Tribolium castaneum: one gene and its partners. The protein of the gene in region 1 purifies or fractionates together with the protein of each later gene. This does not show direct contact. Links are inferred from orthologs where the notes say so. Each region holds a gene or a part of one and is shown in the gene's direction. Other genes may lie near its edges.

What was found.
Region 2: the proteins of selenoprotein S (region 1) and Der-2 purify together in Homo sapiens (affinity purification with western blotting; 3 studies listed by BioGRID and IntAct, with this or other methods). This does not show direct contact. The link is inferred for Tribolium castaneum from reciprocal best matches to the Homo sapiens genes SELENOS and DERL2.
Region 3: the proteins of selenoprotein S (region 1) and Der-1 purify together in Homo sapiens (affinity purification with western blotting; 6 studies listed by BioGRID and IntAct, with this or other methods). This does not show direct contact. The link is inferred for Tribolium castaneum from reciprocal best matches to the Homo sapiens genes SELENOS and DERL1.

What each region holds. Positions count from the first base shown.
Region 1 is NC_087394.1:30,816,708-30,823,954, forward strand, and holds selenoprotein S, read left to right. Parts: upstream 1-3,513; 5' UTR 3,514-3,642; coding exon 3,643-3,700; intron 3,701-3,756; coding exon 3,757-3,903; intron 3,904-3,951; coding exon 3,952-4,155; intron 4,156-4,203; coding exon 4,204-4,292; 3' UTR 4,293-4,515; downstream 4,516-7,247. Other genes in the region: uncharacterized protein LOC662435, read left to right, coding at 1-101, 151-318, 371-540; Ns4 (guanine nucleotide-binding protein-like 1), read right to left, coding at 591-838, 1,402-1,626, 1,675-2,184, 2,234-2,444, 2,495-2,635, 2,684-3,015, 3,065-3,152; Nulp1 (ribosome quality control complex subunit TCF25), read right to left, coding at 4,554-4,743, 4,805-4,983, 5,030-5,279, 5,330-5,743, 5,850-6,260, 6,309-6,514, 6,559-6,735, 6,787-6,918. UniProt on the Homo sapiens protein: Involved in the degradation process of misfolded endoplasmic reticulum (ER) luminal proteins. Participates in the transfer of misfolded proteins from the ER to the cytosol, where they are destroyed by the proteasome in a ubiquitin-dependent manner.
Region 2 is NC_087399.1:2,162,424-2,169,621, reverse strand, and holds Der-2 (derlin-2), read left to right. Parts: upstream 1-3,967; 5' UTR 3,968-4,109; coding exon 4,110-4,202; intron 4,203-4,253; coding exon 4,254-4,487; intron 4,488-4,546; coding exon 4,547-4,833; intron 4,834-4,879; coding exon 4,880-5,003; 3' UTR 5,004-5,080; downstream 5,081-7,198. Other genes in the region: rdgBbeta (cytoplasmic phosphatidylinositol transfer protein 1), read right to left, coding at 2,110-2,331, 2,382-2,636, 2,687-2,758, 3,352-3,448, 3,499-3,647, 3,695-3,745.
Region 3 is NC_087396.1:17,556,889-17,564,478, reverse strand, and holds Der-1 (derlin-1), read left to right. Parts: upstream 1-4,283; 5' UTR 4,284-4,489; intron 4,490-4,551; 5' UTR 4,552-4,557; coding exon 4,558-4,911; intron 4,912-4,958; coding exon 4,959-5,363; 3' UTR 5,364-5,472; downstream 5,473-7,590. Other genes in the region: solute carrier family 9 member C1-like, read right to left, coding at 1-468, 515-817, 865-1,096, 1,140-1,298; Dlc90F (dynein light chain Tctex-type), read left to right, coding at 5,806-6,168; trafficking protein particle complex subunit 12, read left to right, coding at 7,568-7,590. UniProt on the Homo sapiens protein: Functional component of endoplasmic reticulum-associated degradation (ERAD) for misfolded lumenal proteins. Forms homotetramers which encircle a large channel traversing the endoplasmic reticulum (ER) membrane.

The sequences.
Region 1 (7,247 bases):
GGATGAAACTAAGAAAAAACCTGCTCCTAGCTCACACCCTTTTGGTGTTTTGGCCGAGAGGAAGGACAAACCACAGGAAATTGTCGAAGATGAAATCGACGGTTACTTGAGGGTTATTTTTGTATAAATGTAACTAAATCAGTGTTTTAGGATCAAAAATTGTGCCAATTTTGGTGGCCAAATTCACTCCCTTAATGTCACACTACTTTGCGCTCAAACACGAGCCAAAGTCCGATGAGGCTTTTCGAAATATTGAATCAATGATGCAGGAGCGAATGATTCTGGCAGACCAGTCTGAGGCACCCCTGAGTGAAGCTTGTAATTGCACAAAACGCAAACACGGATGCGTTCATTTAATTGTTAATTGTAGCCTTGTTGGAGGGTTTATATGTTGAAGCCAGTGAGCAACTGACAAGGGAGGATATTAAAAAACAGAGTCAGGAAATCGTTGCAGCGAATACGAAAAACGAAGATTTAGTTCCACTAATTGTCGTTCCGTTCAACAAGTGGAAGAAAATGCAAAAGCAGCAAAAAAATTAATGGGATTTAATGATAAATTATTAATAAAAATACTCAACATCGTGGTTGTTTCAATCGTCGTCTGCCAACGCTGCAAATTTATTGTGGGCGTAATTCGTCGGCTCTTCATCTGAGTCAGTTTCTTCGTCTTCGCTTTCTTCACTGCTTCGGTCTTTGTGGTCACCGGAGGAGCCCGGGACGTTGTCTTCATCTGAAGCATCAGAGAGGTAGTCTTTGTCGTCTGCGAGCTGAGTGGAATCGTCAGATTTGGCCTGAATCCACTTCACTTTCTCGATCTCCGGGTGTGAGGCCCAATAATCTAACAAATAAAACATAACGCAGTTTCAATTTCTTTTCAACCAGCGTTTGCCCGGAATTTTCATGATTTTCTTATTAGCTAGATCTTGGACAAAAATCAGTGATTCACGTATGCCTTCTAAACATATTCCAAATGTTATTCAACTGAAAACCTTTTATTTTATCTTTTATGTCAAGAGATAAATAAAGACAACTTTTTGTATTGGTTACATGCTGATGAGCAGGATTCTGAATCATATTTGATACGAGTTTGTAAGACAGGCACATAAACGTACAAAGTAATCAAAAATCTTTACATATAGCCACAAAATTAAAAATTATTAAACAACTATTAAACTTGGGAGTTTCAAGTTTTAATGCTAGTCAAAAAATACTTCCAGTTACCCCAAAAAAATTATATCGCAACGATAGAATTTATTATGAGGAAACGATTGCAATTTTCTTCAAAAACTACATTTTTCAATTAAAATATTCCGTATGTTCCAAACGAAGTCAAATGAAATAAAAAAAAGAAGCAATGAGACATCTTATACAAAAAATAACGTTGTTCGACATGTCAACTACCTTTTTTATTTGAGTACTTGGGTGGCCTGAGACACAGGCAAATTTTCCCGTCCAAAGCCATCCTCAGTAAATCATTTGCAGCTCTGTAGCTGTCCAACCTGGCGGCTTTGGCTGTCAGGAAACCCCGTTTTTTGGCCCAGCCATCACAAATGTCCATGGCACACCAAGTATCGTCATTTTCTGGATGTTCAATCCTCAGCATATTTGGTAGATCCATACGTTCCGCTATAAAAAATTCTCAAAACTCACAAGAACAAAAATTAAAAACAATACCTAAATACTTTATCGTTGTGAACGGCTCCCTAAGTTGGGCGATGGGGAAACTCCCCATCAAAACCTGTATAACCTTTGGTGTTTTCGACGGAAAGACTAGACCAGGACAGTCGCACAGCCGCACATTGGGCGTTAAAAAAATTGTTTGGAAGTGTTTCGTATGGCCTGGAGTTCTGGACACGCTGACGACTTTCTTCCCCATGATTGCGTTAATAAGTGACGATTTGCCGACGTTGGGTTGCCCCAAACAGCCGATTGTGAGAATACCGTTTTTGTATTTTTCGTGTTCGAAGTAACTCGTGTCCACTGCTTTCATTTGAACTGTTTCTCCAATTTCAACTTTCTCGTCTTCATCGTTTTCGTATTCCAAATTCATTTCTTCCTTTATTTTGGTTTGCCAAGAACTTATGTCTATATTATCCCCAACTATGGTTTTACAAACTTCAAACAACTGTTGACTCCCTTCTGCAGCCAATCGGAACTTGCCTTTGCGTTTACGGACTTGGAGACCTAAAATTAACAATTAAATCTTGTAATTAATTTATTACACACTACAAACCAGCTCTATTCACTTGGGTGCCAACTAGATTATAGCCAGGGAGTGTGGTAAACATGCAAATGTGCAAATTGGGGTAATTCTCCTCAAAGTATTTTTTCCACGCCACGACTAACGGCGCTGGGGCCAAATCAATTTTATTCAATACTAAAATAAAGTCTTTCTTCAATGTTTCAGTCACGTATTCGTACAAAGATGGGGGAAACATGTGGGCCTACAAAAAGTAATTAAAATTTAATAAAGCAAATTGGGAGGCAGAATTACGGGATATCTGATATCAACAATGTGCAGAACAATATCTGACATTTCGAGAACCCGCCACAACTGCCGCCACGTCTCCAAGTTCAGTTCAAAGAAACTTAACTCTTTCCAATTATACTTTTCCAAGATTCCATTAACATAATCCTGAAATTAACCGATCAGACAAAATAATGTTAATGACAATAACCGTACATTAAAATATTTGGTTTCGCGTGCTTCGAGCTGTTCAGTCGTGAGCTCATATGACCACGGGGGCCTTCGAGGAAAACCCAAGTCTTTGGGAAAATAGTCATTTGAGTCAATTTCCAGCTCTTTCTCAGAGACAGGTTCTATGGTTTTGCAAGCCTCTTCTTTACGTGCTTTGAGCTCAGAGGGAGTCTCGCGGTAAAACTGCAAGGCATAACGGTTGCGGTCTCGCCCGTCCTTAGGGGGACAGTAATTGAATTTTTGAATTTGGGGCTGATCCTCACTATCACCGGCACTGGTCTTCAACAAAGGCCGCCGGTTTCGGGAACCAAAACCTTCTAAAGTGGTTACAATTAGAACAGTTTTCTGCAAAAAATAAGAGGGTACCTTGAGGGGCGTTCTGTTTGGACTGTTTTTTGGCCTTTAGCTGCTCTTTCTTGGCTTTGCCACTGAACGGTTTCTTGCGCTGAGGCATTTTACTTACTGTGCTGTGAACCTGACCTTAAATTTTTAACAGTTTTAAACATTAATTAACACAATTACAGCAACACTACTTTTTATTTTAAAATCAACGAATTCTAGAAAATCACATGGAAGTTACTAGAATCCCCTAGAACCATAGGACACTTGTCAAATTTCAAATCTCATTTTAAAATTTAAAAAGAGCGAATTTACGTTTTTTGTGTGAATTTTGTAAGCACAAAAACGCAACAACATGTGCTGCATATTTTAATAATAATCATTACAAATTAAATGTAATAATTAACCAGATTAACATTTATTTGTCCAAAAAAACCTTATTAATCAAGAGCGCTTGCGTCAATTTTGATTTGACACGTCAGGTGACATTGACATTATTTTGACAGTTTAATAATTAAATTGTAGTTTGTTGTTAATTATTAAAAATTGCAATTGCATCGTAACAATAATATTGTGGAACATTTATATTGAACAAACTGGGAGCGATGGACGAGTTTGAAGCCTTTGAGCAAGAAAACGGCTTCTGGAATCCACTGAATTCAGGTTAGTCCTTAACGCAAAAAAAGGAAAGTTTTGGTAATTAACATTCGCATTTTTAGTCATTTACATCCTTGAAAATTATGGCTGGTATATGCTAATTGCTTGTATAGCTCTAGTAGTGGTATACCAGAAAACTTTAAAATCTTACATCCAAAAACTTAGGGAATACAAATTTGAGAGAGACTATGCGGCTAAATACCACAAGAGTAAGTTACTTTACGAAATTTAGATCGTTTTAACTGGTTTGGCCCCAGATCCCGATGTTTTTGCTGCACATGTCAGTGCCCAACAACAGTGGGCCCAGAAACTCCAAGAAAAATATAACAAAGAATCTGAAGAATATCAAAGAAAAATGAAAGAAAAGGAGGAGAAAAAGCGAGAGGAGCTTAAAAGGAAGTATGAGACTTCTGGGGGTCACGTTTTGGGTAGGAAAGATGATACGAGTAATTTGCGACCAGGTGAGTGTAACACTTGCTGAGTCATGATTTATTGATTCGTTACTGTAGGATATAACCCACTGATGGGCGCTGGAAGTTCGTCCAATTATCGCCCACCTAGGAGAAGTCCTTGTGGAGGCGGAGGATGTGGCAGATAAGACTATCACTTTTAAATAATTAAACTACACAATTATAAATTATTTTTTTAATATTACACTATTGTTGGGCTTTACTTAATTAATTAATTACGAATCTATACTAGAATTAATAATTTAATAACATAACTGAAACTACAAAACGGACAGATTATCAATTTATTTGGTTATATCATAATTGTAATAATAAACATTTTTAGAATATAGCAACAATAAGGAAATAAAAGGTTTAGTGTTTTCTTCACTAGCGAATTAGACTAATTATTAGGTAAGGTCGTCGTAATCTTCGTCAACATCAGCGTCGTTCGGTACTTCCATTTCTGGGGGCCTTATGTTGTTCAACAAGTCTCTCATTGCCCCAACCAATGATACGACACTTCGTCTAAAATCTCCAGCGTCATTGTTTGCGTTTTCGTAAACCGGAAGAGCTGCAGCGCCATCTTCCTCTCTCGGTCTACAAAAAAATTCCACTCTGCTAACTGTGGCTGCGAAAACAACCCAAAAAATGGACTTACGGGTCCAAAAGATTTGGTGGAATCTGATTGGGATTAAAGTTGGGCAAAATCGACCTGAAGAAAATACTTAAAGGAATGGAACTATTATTTGAGACTGTTGGCCGTTTTGGCTTGGTGTAGATGTTGATGGAGTCTTGAGGGGGCAAAGGATCGAACCCTAAGACAGGTCCGCTGAAATCCTGGAATAACAATTAATCCCATGTGTGGTTTTGCACAAAAAATTACATCAGTGATTGGTGTTAGATCCTTGATGTCTGAGAGCAGAATATGTCTCGCTATGCTCCTTGGCAGGGAGCCTTGGTACCTTTTGGCCCGTTTCGTCTCATAATCCTTCACAACTGGGTCATTTTTATCAACTCGATCCAACACTGCGTGCACATTGCGTTCCAGCCAGTGCATCAAATCGCTGTCTTTCCACACATGGTAACACCTACTCACATACAACTGGATCAGCTGTGTCAGAGCGGCCGATTGTCTAAAACACACCCAATATACCCATCTGTTTACATATCACTCATCAATTACTTGTTTTCGTTAACTGAGAAGAATTTGTGCGTCATTACCCTGTTGTCAATTTGCACTGAGCATTTTTCAAGTAAAGGCATGAGTACGCCGGGGAACATTAACAACGCGTTCTGAAGCAAACTGTCGGCTTTGGCCGTTTCGCCGTTCGATGTGTGGAAATGGGCCACGGCTGTTGAGAAAGCAAAGTTTGGGAGTTGGGACAAGTTCTTTGCTGTCTCCCATTCGTCAGCAAAGTCAATCAGCCAGTTGTACTCGCGGGCACGTAAAGCATAAAAGTCAATTGCTAGTTTAATGGCAAGGGGGTCGCCGTCGGGGTCCAGCGAAAGGAGAAGCTTGCAGAACTCGAGGGCCGTTCGACAGCAAGCGCGGCCCCCGACGAAAGTCAGGTGCTTGAAGATTGTTATGTATAAAGCCCTGGAACGTAGGAAAAAACTTTCGATTACAATGCAAAATTTTACAGTAAATTACCAGGCGTTTAAATATAGTAATCTTTTTATTAAAATTTAAAACAAAAATGTACCTGTTTTCCTGCCTTCTGTAGTCCAGCCTGCAGTTTCCTTGCGCAACATTGAAAAGAGGGTGAAAAGCGCACTCCAGGCAATAGAGCGCCCTTTCAATAAACTCAGCTGCCATTGCCAGATCCTCGCTCAATTTACACAAATCTGACAACTGTATCAGGGCATCAATGTGGTAAGGGTGGTCATTAATAATTGCAACAATATTATCAGGATTTAGACTTTCAACTGACTCAAGAAACCTGTTCTGTATCTGGCGGTAACTCTGACTGTGTTCGTAGGTAAAATATTGAATCCCCTGTTTATTTTCGAGCAAGTTCATGGAAAGTCCCGACTTGCCCACTTGGGGCCACGTATCTTTACCACTTACTAGCCACGTTGTCTTTGTATGTCCCCTCCCTCTGTTTTTTCTTTTGCTACAAGAAGAAAGTCAGAAGATCGGGCTTTAAGTGACTATTACCTACTGTTCAGCTTGGATAATTTTTGAGCCAAATATCTTTTTCAATTCATTGTTCGGGTTCAAATGTTTATGTTGCACGGACAGAATGTTCTTATTGTGGACATTTTTCTCGTGCTTGGTGTTGAATGGAGGAGCTGAGGTGGTTTTAGGCAAGTGGCTTTCGCCCAAGAGTCTGTTCACCTCACGAACTGATCTCTCGACTTCGTCGATCTAAAAAGGCAAAGTAATGTTTAACCCATAACTTTGGGTCTTACATCAGCATTGTCCTCGCTGCTTCGCTGCGGATTCACATGTTTCCCTGACTTTTTCTTCTTCTTCTTTTTCTTTCGCTTGACCGCCTCGTGGTTTGGGTCCCCTTCACATGACTTGGCAGCCTCCGTTTCATTGTCGTCTTCCTTGACTTCGCTCTCTGAGTGTGACTGTTGGTTCAGCTGGAAGATGATAATTAACGCAAAATTCGCGTTACTGGAAGGGGCTGTTACCAGATCGTAGCGATTGATGTTGAGTTGTTTTCGTCGGGCACCCCCACTAACAGGAATGTCGGTTTCTGTATCAGATATTTCATCCACAATGTCTTTATCCCCCTGTAATTTTCGCAACACTCGAGAAGACATCACAAGAACAGTAACTTCGCTGGTGACTTGTCTGCTGTTTTATTTCTTTTTCAGGAATATTTTGGTTATCCTTTCCGCAGGAAATCAATGGACTTCTGGAGATTTTTATTTTGATAGATTTGACACACGACTTGTACTTAACCTATAAATCTTTTTGACGTTTCTCCTGTAGAAATTTTGGATTTTTTAATCATTTATTTTTTATAATTGCTTGTTTATGGAGCTTGTTTAGCACCAAGGAATTATTTTAATTTAATTAGTCAATTTACAATCTACACTGAGAACTAAAAAAAATCGATAATCACCAATCCAAGTTCCAGGATTTTTTA
Region 2 (7,198 bases), on another chromosome or scaffold:
TTACGAGTAGCCCGTTTTTTATTACAAATTATCAAAAAATACATAATTATTAAAATTTTTATTTTATCTTCAAAAAATTTAACAATGAATAAAACGTCGTTTTTGTGAAGGTAAGTCACTTGACCTATAAAATTTCAAGCAAAAAAAATTAAGAATTTTAAATCTCGTGAAGAGCTCGTATATTACGTGCTATAACTTGAAGAAATAAAAATTATTTTCTCAATTACGGCTAAACGATTCGAAAAAGTGGAACTATTTTAATCCTTGCCCATGCAAAATGATCCGAGGAATCGATTGGCGTTGAGAAAAATACCAAATTCCCAATAGTTTTTTAGTTATGAATTTTTAAAACTTTACAAATTTTTGCATTTATCTGCAATTTTCTCGAAAACCATTACTCGGCGAACAAACATCTTTTTTTAAAAAGATAGATAATTTAAAGAGCTTTCCATTGATAATACACTTCGTATGGTTATCTCTAATAGTTCCGGAGTTATTGCTCGATAAATAATCCCGGTACCGAAAAATGACCAAAACCGTGACAAAAATTGAAAAAATCGAACAACTCGACTTATTTTGAACTTTTATCAACTCTAGAGGGATGTAAAAGCATATGTAAGTCCAAAAAACTATAATAGAACGAGTTTAAAAAAATATATTTTTTTCACTATCTTGAAGGTAAGTAAGCGTATTACTCAGGAAATTTTAGCAGAAAAAAACAAAATTTTAAATTTTGTGAAAAGTTGGTATAATACAGAAAATGAGCCGCTGAATTCACTGGAACAAACGGTTTTGCTTTACGACTTTTAGTTTTTGAGTTATGATTTTTTTTGTTGAATAAAATTTTGCGTTAACTTTTTTAAATTCTTATTTTTTTAATTACGGCTGAACTATTCGAAAAAGTAGAACTATTTTTATCCTTACCCATGCAAAATGATGCGGGGAATCGATTGGCATCGGCAAAATTGCCAAATTCTTAATAGTTTTTTAGTTATAAATTTTTTAATATTTTACCAATTTTTGCATTTATCTGCAATTTTTTCGAAAACTATTAGTCGGAGAACAATATTTTTTTTTGAAAAAAATAGACAATTTAAAGAGCTTTCCAACGATAATACACTTCACAGGGTTATCTCTAATAGTTCCGCAGTTATTGCTCGATAAATGTTCCGGGTACCCGAAATCGACCAAAATCTCGACAAAAATTGAAAAAAGCAAACATAAAAACATTTGAACATATAGACTTTTTTTGGACTTTTAACAACTCTATTGGGTTGTAAAGGCATATAAAAATTCATTTTATCAGCCAAAACAAGTTTCAATTTTTTAGTGTAGGCAACCAAATATACACTCCGAGCAAAATAGTGCACAAAAATGCTTTTCTGTAAATTGCTTTGCATATTTTTATTTATTTCAATTAATGATAAAGTTATTTTACCGCAAGTAAACTGCGGAAAATAAAGCATCTCAATTTTTGGACTTCATACGGGGGCAGTAGTTTCCTTAATACTTTTTTGTCTTTGTCTTTACCACAATCCTTACACTCAATGCGTTAGGATAAGGGGATTTTATAAAAAATTAAAAATTCACCTTTAACAGTCGATTACTTTAATTTTTGACCTGCCCTCGTATGAAGCATTTCAGCCGAATTTTGTTTCCAAACGAACAAACACGACACTGTGACACAAATTAAACCAAAAATTTGTTTTTTTGTTGAGTAGAGATAACCTTGTGACTTAACTATGTCTCACAATTTTATCGCCCAAATGCAAATTATTGTAAATTTGGGTCAGAAAAAAAATCCAATTTTCCGTGTGAAATTTTATTTTTCCAACAATACAACGTAGGTATTAATCACGATAAACGAGGAAGTTGGAGACAAAAATCCCCTTTACACAACTATTCTCACTTCTACACTACATACATACAAAAAATTGAGGAGAAACGCCCTGGTCCAGAGTGCACCTAAAATTCGTTAAATAAAAATTTCCTAAACGTCAAGCGATAACAAATGACGCAGACATTTGACTAGTTAAACAAAAGCAACTAAACATGAAGTAACAAAAAAAGAACAAAAACGCAACAATCCTCTAACGTAACCTCCTGATGCTAGAACCACGAAAAATAGCCCTTTTTCTGGGGCGACTTGGGGCTTTTGGGGGACTCCTGGGCGGCTGTATCGCCGCCCCCGACCTTATCAGCAAGCAGCGAATTGGTCTGAGATTGCAACTTCGCCTCGTATTCACGCACATCCTGCAACGACATTTCTATCCATTCGTCAATCCACGCAAAGGCTTGCCTGTGCCCCAGCAACAGCACCTCGCGAATACACTAAAAAAATTGTTTAACAACCAAAAGTTTGCCAAAACGAGTGCGCGCACCGAATGGATAAAATCCTCGACTTTCGTCTGGAGGCCAAAAACCTCAAACGAGGCATTTACTAATTTATACGAACACATGATTGGGGTGTAGTTAGCCCGCCAGCCCTCCACCAGGGGCCCCCTTTGCGTTTTTTTCGACTGGAAAAAACGCGGGTCCTCTTCCTCTTTGTAGTGTTTGGGGCTCACTTCATCGTAGGCTATGTCAATGTGGTCGACTAGGCGTTCGGCAAGTTGTTCAGGAGTTAAATTAAGACACTAAATTTTTTTATTTAAAAAAAATAATTGCAATTTATTTTTTGACTCACGTTTTCGGTACTGCCGTTGTTATTCTCATATTTGGTTTTAATTTCAATGTGAAAACGTGGAATAAATGAGCACTACAAATAAATAATAAAAAATATATAAAAAATATACCGGGTGTTTCAGTTTGGGAATTTAACCCTTGTAATTTTTTTATTAAATAAAGTAAAATACCATATTTCTATTTTTAACGGTTTAGGCATAAATTGACTTTACAATGCAATAATGGCGTCATTAACGGAACTATCGAGGACAGAAACGTTTTATTAGTAGGCTGTTTTATATCCTAACCTTTAGATATCCGTAGACATGAATTTATTATAAAAGGAGTGCCAAAAAAATAGTATTTTGTTTAAGTTAGTAAATAAAAGTATATAATATATATTTTTTTATTTAAAATAATCTATATTTTTTTAATTATTTACCAATTCTTTGTCACATGTTTAAAATTATAAATAATGGTGCAAAAAATTATACAAGGAACCAATGAAAAAAAATTGACAGTCACCGTTTTGACGAATGTCACCATACAGCCAACTTGATGATTTTATTCAATATATTTTGTCAATCCAACCAAAAATATAAACGACTTGTACACTTTTTTACAAAAATAAAAAAGTTACAAAGGTGCGCATAAAAAACCGAAACACCCGGTATATTTGGGCCGTACCGTATATTCTGTGATAGTGTACGGGTAATAATTCCACGCTTTCTCCGTCACGTAAAATATCTTAGGTATAATGGCCTGCACCCAGTAAGGCAAACGGCTACAAAAACTCATTACCTAACGCTCTAATTCGCTAATTCTTAATCAAACCTTGATAAGTGAATTCTTTTTTCGGTAAACTGGCCTTTGCCATGCTCCGGGTCGTCAATTTCCCGATTTTCAACCACTTCAACCCCTTCGCCATCCCCCGACTGCTCCAAACTGTGCCTCGCGATCATGTACAGTTGCCCCACTTGATACTTTCATAAAACCAAGTCAAGTAAAGCACTAAATGACCACAACTCACCTCTTCGACCGTAATCGGCATACAAATTCGGTATTCTTTAGTCAAAACCATCGCAAAAAATGGTTTTATTTTTTGGAAAAATTTGACAGTATGGTTAAACAAAACGTAGCGCGTGCGCACAGTCCCGCCAACTTAAACAAACCAGGCTCATTTTTAGTTAAACAAAGGCACAATTGGAAGTGTAAACACGGAATTTTTCTGAAATAGACCATCGGGGATTTGTTTATTTGAAACGAATTTATTAATTTCGCCGAATTTACGACTTGGGTACCAATCGTGCCGAAACGAAGTTACTAGCGCCGGGAGAGAAATGTCAACAATGTCAAATTTTGACAAGATAATTTCAAGCACTGATGTGGCTTTCAAAATCTGATTTTTGGCTTAAAATGGACATGTCGTGATAGTTAGCCCGAAAATGGCTTATCAGACGTTACGAAACGAATACCTGCACATGCCCCCCGTGACCCGGGCGTACACAACGGCATGTGTGATAACAACGCTGGCTGTTGTAAGTTATATTTTTTTGGGGGGTTTTTTGTTAAAATTTGTTTCATTCAAGCAATTGGAACTGGCGTCGCCCTTCCAGCTGTACTTCAACCCCATCCTGATCCTGAAACAGGGGCAGTTATGGCGGCTAGTCACCACATTCCTATTTTTTGGAACGTTCGGTTTCAATTTCTTCTTCAACATGATTTTCACTTATAGGTACTGTAGGATGCTTGAGGAGGGCTCGTTCCGGAACAGGACGGCCGACTTTGTGATGATGTTCCTGTTCGGGGGCGTGTGTATGATTGTATCCTTTCAAAAAGCGCGCCGTTTTTAACGTCAAAAGCTGGCCTTAACGCCGACTAGATTTTTGCGTTCTTTGTTAACTTATTATTTCTGGGACAAGCGTTCACAATAATGCTGGTTTACGTGTGGTCGCGGCGCAATCCGTACGTTAGGATGAACTTTTTCGGCCTTTTGAACTTCCAAGCTCCTTACTTGCCTTGGGTTTTACTGGGCTTCTCGCTCTTGTTGGGAAATGCGGTCTATGTCGACTTGATGGGGATAGCCGTGGGACATATTTATTATTTTATAGAGGATGTTTTTCCAAACCAAAGAGGGGGTTTTAGGATACTTAAAACGCCGCATTTTATGTAAGGATTGGGCGTTTTTCGGGTTAGTTTTAATAGATTCTTGCAGGCGTACGCTATTTGACGAAATACCTGAAGACCCGGACTATGCCCCGCCTCCTGAGGAGCGGCCCGGGGGGTTCGATTGGGGCAACCAGAACCAGGAGGTGAATCCCCAAGAGAATCGGCAGTGATACCAACCCTAGCCAGTGTACAATACCCCCAAAAATTAATTTGTAATACTTGTTTATTAATAAAAGAATCTATCGAAGCTACGAGTATTTTTTGCATACCCTACAAAATTGATAACTGATAAGCGGGAAAATTAAATACCGACATTTCACAATAATTAATTTCGTTTCATTAAACGTTTGGAAAAATTTTGAAAGATTGCTTCGTAATATCGTAAAACCATAAAATTAAGGCGGTACATTTTTTTTGACTACAGTAATCTCCAAATGCAGCAAATACGGACGTCAAAAAAAATAAATGCTGCGCGAAAGTCCAAAAAGTACTTTTGAAATAAGTATTCTAATTAAAAAAATCATTGGAATCCCATTAATTACAGATTAATTTCAATAAATAAATTTATTGGCAAGCATTAGGTGTTACTACGCAGATTAATGACTACGTCAAACAATTAACATAAAACGAATAATGATAATTAGAGATATCAGTGAATTTATGAAGTACTTAAAACTATATTTTTTTATTACGTAATTTTTGCACTGCACGTCTTTTGAACTGTTTTATAGCAGATTAGATGTTAATGCATTATACATAATATACAGAATGTCTCAAAACTGGCGAGTTCCAAGTTTAGTGCATTATAAAGAATCACTTCAGAAGTCTAAATAATTATAAAAAAATTAAAGATTTGTACAAATACATTGGTTTGAATGTATTTTTTTCAAAAGCAGGCCAAAGGTTTGAGAGTTTATTGTCATTTATGGTGTAAATTATTGTGGAGAAAAAAAGTAAAGCAGTTTAAAAAAAAAATTTATTTTGAAGTAATTTAATTTTTAATTTTAGTAATTTACTGTTTTATTTTCATTTTATCAATTATTTTTCTTTTCTATTTTTCTGTCTGATTTATTTATTTATTTATTTATTTAGGTTAAATTCAAATGAGGTGACTCTTTTATTTTTGCTATAAAATATTCATCAATTACGTCTTTGGATTTTTTTTCTATTGTATCTTCTTTCCTTTTTGATTTTTTAATGTATTATTTTCATCATATTTTTCCACTTCTTTTTGTCTATCCATTGTTTTGTTCTGTTTTAGAAAACTAACTAGAATTTTTGATTTTCTGAGTTTTTTTGAGTAAATATTTTTGAAAAATTTCAAATTATTTAGAAATTTTAAGAACTTAAAAAAACATATAGTACCAACTATTTTTTTTTAATTAAACAAAAAATATAATTTTGAAAGATTGCATTTAATAAAAAAACTGTTAATTTTTTGCGGTTTTTTTGATATCTCGACAATTTTGGTCGCCATTAAGGCCAAATTTCTTAGGAATTTTTTGGTGGCTCTCTTATTACCAACTTTAAAGTTGGTGCACATCACTCTGTATATAACTGAATATAAACAAGATTATATGTGATAAGATTATTCGTTCATATCTGTTGAGAAAAAGTTAGTTTTATGCACCGACAAAAATGGTGGATGCGCCGGGATAATTTGTAAATCTTTCTTTTCTATTTCAAATCAGCTAATTCAATCAACAGGAAGACTAATTCCAGAGTTAACGGGTTTTTTTCGACAATTTTTTTATAAATAAGTGACTGTTTGACTCAAATAAGGAAAAAAATCATTCATAAATAAGTGGCTGAAATATCGGAATTCTGGTGATTTTTTGCAAAACCGGAGAAAACAAAGCCTATAACTCGTCCAATTTAATTACCACAATCAGCTATCAAATGTGTGACAACTTTCAAATTCAATTAAACCCCCATAATGAACTTCCCGTCCTCATTAATAAAAACGCAACTTTGCGTGTATCATTCTCTTCTTTTTCCACAAGCAATTCAAACTTGGACGAATTGTCCACTTCCCCAATTTCCCCTATTTTTATTCCTTTTCCGTCCATAAATTCACCCTCGGACGACTCCTCCATCGATTCTGGCATTCGCCCCAAAGACTCAACCCCCGCAAAAACTCGATCAATTTTTCATCACATTTCGTCTCCGGCTATTAAAATGCGCTGATTTTCGTATCGGTTAATTACGACCGGAAACTCCGGTGGACACGTGATCCGGGGTTGCCCGGCAACCCGGAGTCTGCACAGACACGGCCGCCTCACCGATTTACGCGAAATAGAGCGTCCGGAAAAAAACTCTTCACCAATGGACCAATTTATAATTCTTGGTTTGAACGTCTCAAGGA
Region 3 (7,590 bases), on another chromosome or scaffold:
TTTTTAAGCCTCCCCAAACACAAATTAGCATGTTTTGGAACGACATTCCATAACCAGTTCTTGACAAAATCGGCGAAAATAAGAAGAAACTAAGAAATCGTGTCACATTCGCCATGAGATAAGTGACCAGGACTAGGACATATTCCTTCATTTGTACATTTATTCGTAAAGTAATCGGTGCTATGACTCCAGCCACAACAAAAAGAATCCCGCACATCATGATAATAACCATCTTCCAGAAATTAATAATTGACTCTTCCCTCTCTTTCGAAAGAGTTGCTCGCGCTCTGCCCATGAAAATTCCGCAAATGGTACAAGCGGGAAGTCCAGCGCTTGAAATCCATTGAACGATGTAATAACTCATGTAGCACATTGATATTGTTACTATTAAAAGCCCAGAAGTGTCAGTATACGAAAGTTTCATGAGAAACGTTCCAAAAACTCCAAAGAGGTAACCAAGGGGCAAAGCTAAATCTGGGTTTAGTCAGAGTTAGGAACAGAATTTCCAACAGACCAACAACCACGGTCCGCACCAGCCCCATTAACCACTGGTACCAGTGGACAATCCAGCCTCCAATGTGGAGCCCCAACATTTGTGTGAATGCCACAGCGATTGAAACCGAGAGAAGGGTCTCCCCTTCAAGCAAAATTGCCACGCATTTCGTGCGATGTCCGGACTCTTTCAATAAGCGGAGCATTTCAGTGGGGTAGATAGCCTGTGTTAGTGCCCCAAAGTAGAGACTATCGACCACTGTCCACTTCCGGTCGATCACCAATCGCATCAAAATCCCAAACATAGCGCTCGCGAGAAGAGCAACTGACTAAAAATGTCGTACGATTGATGCGATATTTACGAGTACCTACCTGGGAAAGAAATAACGAAAATTTGGGGAAAAGAATACAGGAAGGTGTGAATGTCCATGCAGATGGCGGTGCTGAAGACCATTGCCGGAAGGAAGATGACATCGAATTCATTGATGATAGTTGGCCAAACTAAAGAGACGTCTTCCATCCAAGGACTGTACCAAGTTCCGACTCCCCACAGGACACCGCAAGTCATGCACACGGCGGCGTAAGGGACGGGGATTCCTTTGTTCTGGTTGGGGTTAAATCTCTGACTGAACGTAGGGAAAACTTACAATGATGAAGTGGCGGGTCTTCGTTACCAGTAAAAGACAGCCGAAGATGAAAATGTATTTGACGGAGAAATCTGGAGGAGGTCGCTTCTTTGGTGTGTCCTCTGCCAAGATTTGAGCCAAATATAACAGGAAAATAATGATAGAAAGTTTTCGGAACATTTTGTGAGACTTTTGGCTTGGAATTAGTTTGTTTCCAAGGTTTTTGATAATTAAATATTTCGTCGATAGGGCGAGTCGATGGTTATTTTATTTTGTCGGTATGCGGAATTAAAAGTGATGGGGCGATTAAAAATAAAGGCGTGTCGTTATAAATAATTTATTATAATAAAAATACAACAAACGTATTTTAAGGTCCAGGTGAAAACTTAAATGTCATAGAACCACTAAGTACTTTTAAAAGATTCTTCGCTACAGATACTGTAGAAATCTCCGTCTCGCGACATCGTTGACTTGACACTATAATACGATTTGATGCTATGCATACTAGAAACACTGGATTCCGTCCCTGTCCGCTCTCGATAGGGACTATTTGAACCATTTTCCCCTGTGCCGTTCACATTTATAACGCTAATTTGAGTATTTTGAGATTCGTTCACTACAAACACCCAGTTAGAAGTTATTAAAACACAAACATTGCAACTTACCCGAATTTGAGTTGGCATTTTCTTCTGTTTTAACATTTTTGTCTCGCCGACAGCAGCAAATATCCCAAAACATGTTCGTCTTTACACTCGACACACTCTTAACAAATAAGGTGTTTTAAAGTTCAACATTAAAAACATTAAAGTGCAAAGTTTGATAAACGAGATAAAGCATTCCTACCTGCGGGTTATCAGATGTGAGTAATTAAAATAACAACAGATTTTTCGCTAATCTTAGTGACATCACTTTTGGCGCCCTTAGAAATTTTTCTAAATCTTCTCAAATAGGTGTGGTCTGTGGAACGCTTCTGATAAGCCGATTTGTGGTTTGAACTTTAAATCTTCTCATAAAAGTTGATTCCATTGTTCATTTTTTATGGACGCTTTCGTTGAACTCTGATAAAGTTAGTTATATTGGATCTGTGCGTGTTATCTTGGCGGGCAAACATGGGAATATTAGAAAAAATTAGAACAACTGATGGTAGTTTATCAATATCAGCGACATATCGAAATCGCTGTGATAAGAAACCTAAGTTGAACCTATTTATTTAAAAAAAAGTTTTACAGCGGCGAATGTAGACCCTTTAGTAAGTTCAGGACACGCCACAAATTTTAAATGTGATTCTTACATTTTACAAATTAATTCTTCAGAAATATTTAAATGAAAGAAAGAACATTCTTTACAATTTATTGCAGTGTAATGCAAATTACGGAAACAAAAACTCTAGCATTAGTTAGTTAGTCGTAAATTCACTGTTTTATTAAGGAGAATTTGAGCAATTTTGCTGCTTGTTTCACAGCAGTTTTAAGTAACTTTTTTGAAACTTATTTACAGGATACAGTTCTACTCAGGCTGTATGGGTGAAAGTATTTTAAAATCTATCAGTGCTTTATTTAATTCCGAAAAAATCCTGAAAACTGTTTTTTGAGCATTATTTCACATCAACATTGTGTTAAAAAGAAAATAAATGACTTTGGTCCTGTATTACGAGTAGACTGTTGGGAATAAAGTTATGCGCTTGTTTCAATTCATTGTCGCACATTTACAGATAGGGTTTTCGTAATAGACTCGTTTACTGAACGCTTATTCTCACATGCCAATTTTGTTGCTGAATTAGAATCTGAAGTTAGTTTTTGTCGTTATTGTGAAACTTTTTTAAATCCTTAAAATTGGTCAATTTTTGTGTCTACTAGTCAAAAATTCCTTCTGGTTAAAGTTAGAAACTTCTTTTTTGGAAATAAATGCTCAGTGAATAAGTAGTTTTTAAGTTTCAGTTTTGAGAAAAGAAAAATGGGAAAATTAGAACACACTACCAATACAAAGGAAAATACGCGGCAATGCCACTTCAAGCGCATATGGCAGTAACTTTAAATTGCAATAACTTGAGTGTCATAAATAATCATAAAACATATCGAAATGATTCTTGCACCAACAATTTATCTCAGCTGTTAGCTTCGTTTCATGATTATGCATAGGTTTAACTTTTAAGAAAAAAATTCTCATCTCTACTAGACAAATATGTAACGTTACAAGAAAACTGCTATTTTCTCAGTCTTCTTTTGTTGAAACTAAAACTTGTGTGTAATTGTTACAATCCACATCCATTGAGGATTTTTTTTTATAAAAAAATGAAGTTTCTAGCTTTATCCAGAAGGAAGATATAACGATGTAAACACAAAACTTGACCAATTTTAAGTTCTTCAAAAATTTCCAAGGAAACGCCTTTTTCATCATGAAGGCAATTCCAAACAAAAAATCGAAGTTGATTCAAAGTCAGCTGTAAATTTTGCATAAGAATCAGTTTAAAACCCGAAGGGACAAATAAATTATTAATTATTGTGCGCTGCTGATGGACCCTGTTGATCTAGAGTATATAAAATATGTGACGGCAAATGACTTTTGGACACTTATCTTGGAAAGACACCCCTTAAAAAAAAGGATAGCACAGGGACAGGAATATCGCTTTTAGTTCCAAGTGAAGTTACCTATTCTTCTTTTTACAAACTTAATTGGCGCAGACAGTACAAAATGTTTTGTGATTTCATCTTTTGTTTGTAAAAAAAATAATATGAAGACTTCAATATGTTCATCGATGCTCATAGTGCAGTAAGTTTTATTTTCTCGGTCTTTTTTTAACGAAAGGAAATAACAAAAAAACAAATTGTGTATCATGTTCTAAGAGCAAAATTGTGCTTCAAAGGCTAGACCCATGGCGTGTAAGTTTTAATACGTAACGGAAAATACAAAATGATTTTTACAAAACCATTTAACAAGTTTTTCTGTAATCTGCAATTGTACCTATTAATAAATAAGATGTGTTGGATTCTATGTTGCAAACCCCGTGTTGAGGTTTAAAGTAAAATATCTTAGCTCTAAATTAGTCAATTATAGCACAGACATCAAAATTGGGGAACTTTTTTGATCTCAAAAATGCAGATAGTTTCCTGAAGCCAAAAAGGTAAAACTAGGCAACCACCAATCCCTATCACCTTTTTGACATCTACGTCACCCATTTGGAAATTTTGACAATTGACAGCCCCATTGACTGAGTTTGATTTGTCATGTTAGCGAATTTATTGAATATTTAGAACCAGAAAACACGTATCCTTTTCACACTTCTTCGGAATTAATGATTTTTAAAACCTACCACTTGGTGTTATGACTGTGTTACTATAAATACTGGGAGAGTTGCATTACCAAATTTGCTAGTAAGTTAGGTTATGTTTGTTTGATTTCTTTATGTTTTGTTCAATGAAACGTTGTATTTAAGGTCGAAATGTCTGATTTCGGGGACTGGTACCGAAATGTACCGATTTTTACAAGATATTGGTTATCATCAACTGTTGGACTGACGCTGTTGGGACGTTTTGGTATCTTGAAGCCTCACAATTTAGTTTTGTTCCTAGAGCCCCTAAAACGCTTCCAAATATGGAGGCTGGTGACTTCAGCCTTGTATTACCCTCTCAATCCAAGCACCGGCTTTCACTATCTGATCAATTTATATTTTCTTTATAATTACTCAAGGAGGTTGGAAGAGGGTGTTTACGCCGGCAAGCCTGCAGACTATTTCTTCCTCCTTATTTTCAACTGGATTTGTTGCGTCATCGTGGGATTGCTTCTTGAAATGCCCGTAAGTTCTTCAAAACTCTTTTAAGTCGAAATAACCCTTTTTTCCAGTTATTGCTAGACCCCATGATCCTCTCAGTACTATACATTTGGTGTCAGCTTAACAAAGACACGATTGTGAATTTCTGGTTTGGAACCCGCTTCAAGGCAATGTACCTCCCTTGGGTGTTGTTGGCCTTTAACATGGTCATATCAGGGGGTGGTGTCCAAGAACTGATTGGCATTTTAATTGGACACTTGTACTTTTTTCTCATGTTCAAGTACCCACAAGAACTGGGGGGCCCTGCTTTAATACAAACCCCCTCCATTCTAAAGCAATGGTTCCCGGATCAAGTGGGCGGTGTACATGGGTTTGGGGTGCCCCCACAGAGACAACAAAGACCAAATCAAGAGCCCCGCGGCAGGTTTTTCGGGGGGCATAACTGGGGCCGAGGCCATGTCCTTAACGGGAACTAAATCTGTAATTGTGGTTCATTTTATTAAGTATATTTAATTAAAGATTTAATTACTACTACAATTTAAGTGCTTTTGTTTTATTAATGTTTTAATAAAATTCTGGAACGTTTAGTGTTTTTGTCGCATTGGTTGGTAATAGTGTTTATCTAAATGTTTGGTAGATAATGTATAAATTCCAGCAACTGGATATTGATTTTATTTCAACATTTATTTATGAGACAGTTTTATATAAAAAATTTCGTTGCGTGATTAATAGAAATTTTTTTATGATATCGGTGACGTTTTGTTAGGTTGGTATTACCACGCCTTGTCACTTTTGACGTTTCCTCTTTTGAAAGGGGTGAGTTTGTTGTCATTCCTGCGCCGCTTGAGGCGAAATATCAGTGAGATTACAAACCATACAGTGTATTTTCCAAGAATTAACTTGAAGAATTTTAGTATCATGGAGAAAACGAATCAAGAAGTGTTGGACCAAGATCTGCAAGAGGAGGGCCAGTTCGTGGTCGACGATGTGAGTAAGATCATTAAAGACGCGATAGAAACTGTGATAGGAGGCAACGCATATTCCCAAAATAAAGTCAATGACTGGACGACTTCGGTCGTGGAATGTTGCACATCAGAATTGACGAAATTGATGAAACCATACAAGTACATCGTGACCTGTACCATAATGCAGAAGAACGGGGCCGGTTTGCACACCGCTAGTTCGTGCTATTGGGATAATAACACGGATGGGAGCTGCACCGTGCGTTGGGAGAACAAGACCATGTTCTGCATTGTATCAGTATATGGATTAGCTATTTAAATATTTCAACAAGTAATTACAGTCATGGATTTGCCTTTCAAGAATAATTTATCGTATTTATAAGTTTCTACTTGATAGTGATTGTTACGTATTAATAAAGTCATTTTTTTATTTGGATTTTGTCATATTATTTACATTTGAAACTACAGTTGTTAGCTGTTTCAAAAATATAAAAACGCCAACGTCGCATTCTCTCTCAAAATTAGCTGTTATATTATTCATGCATTTCAAAAAAATAACAGCTTTGTTCGCGGTAGCGATCCTGAACTAGTTCCAGCTCTAGTACGCTGAATCCCGGATCGGTTCAGAATTAGTCCCAACGATCCTGGGACTCGACGAAGGATTTTTAGTTCTAGACGTGCGCAGTTGAAAGCGGTTTTGTCTCTGTTACTCTCATGTCTTTGAATATTTTTGAGATTGGAATCAATATAAATAAACTGTCTGTTTTGATTACCGGAATTTAGTTAATACTTTACTAAATCGTAATTATTTGTATATAAAATAATGTTTGTAAATTTGAAAATGGGTTGTTTTCTACAATTTATACCTTTTCGTTTTAGGTTTTTCGAATAACTCATTTCTAACTTTGTTCAAATTTTTGTAGCTTGTTAGTTTTTAAACATTTGTTGTGTACTTGACAACGATAAATTATCGTTTGCGGTTGACTAAAATCCATAACTGGTTCAGAACCGCACATGCGCTGTAAATAAATCCTGGACTACTTCAGAATTAGTTCTAAAAATCCTCCGCGAACAAAGCTAATAAATAGCTAATACAATTTCTTCTTTCAATGAGAGATCTTAGCATTCATAACTATTTTACAGTTTTATCAGTCTTATGTAAAAAGATAATTCGGTAAAATGTGACGTTGCTTTTTAATTAAGCTGTATAAAAATGTAAAATAGTTATTAAAGATTAGATCCCTCATTGAAACTACGGACTGTTTATAAAAGAGTGTTGGCTCTCAGGTGGTTCTGTAATTTAAATTTGCCGCATTTAATTATTTTATTACTATCAAATTTCTGAAAAGTACCAGTAAAACTAACATTGTTCGTTTTTTCTTGAACAAAACGGCAAACTTCTGAAACCTACTACGATCCTACATTCATTTATAGACAGATTGTATAAATTACATTAGCTATTAATTTTTTGAAGGGCATGAATAATTTAGAACAGTTAATTTCGAGGGAAAATGCGACGTTGGTGTTAATAATAGAAATAGAAATTCGCGCCATAAACCCATTTCAAGTTTTTCTACGATTGGCTACAGTGGATGTCAATGTCACTAATAAAAAAGTCACTCGCAAATGTCAATAAACGAACGTAAACAGACTTTCGTCGTATTTATTTATTATAAGTTCGTGTAAAGATCGAGGTATTTAGTGAATAATTGCTAGACATGTCGGAAAGCGTGCCCCCGTC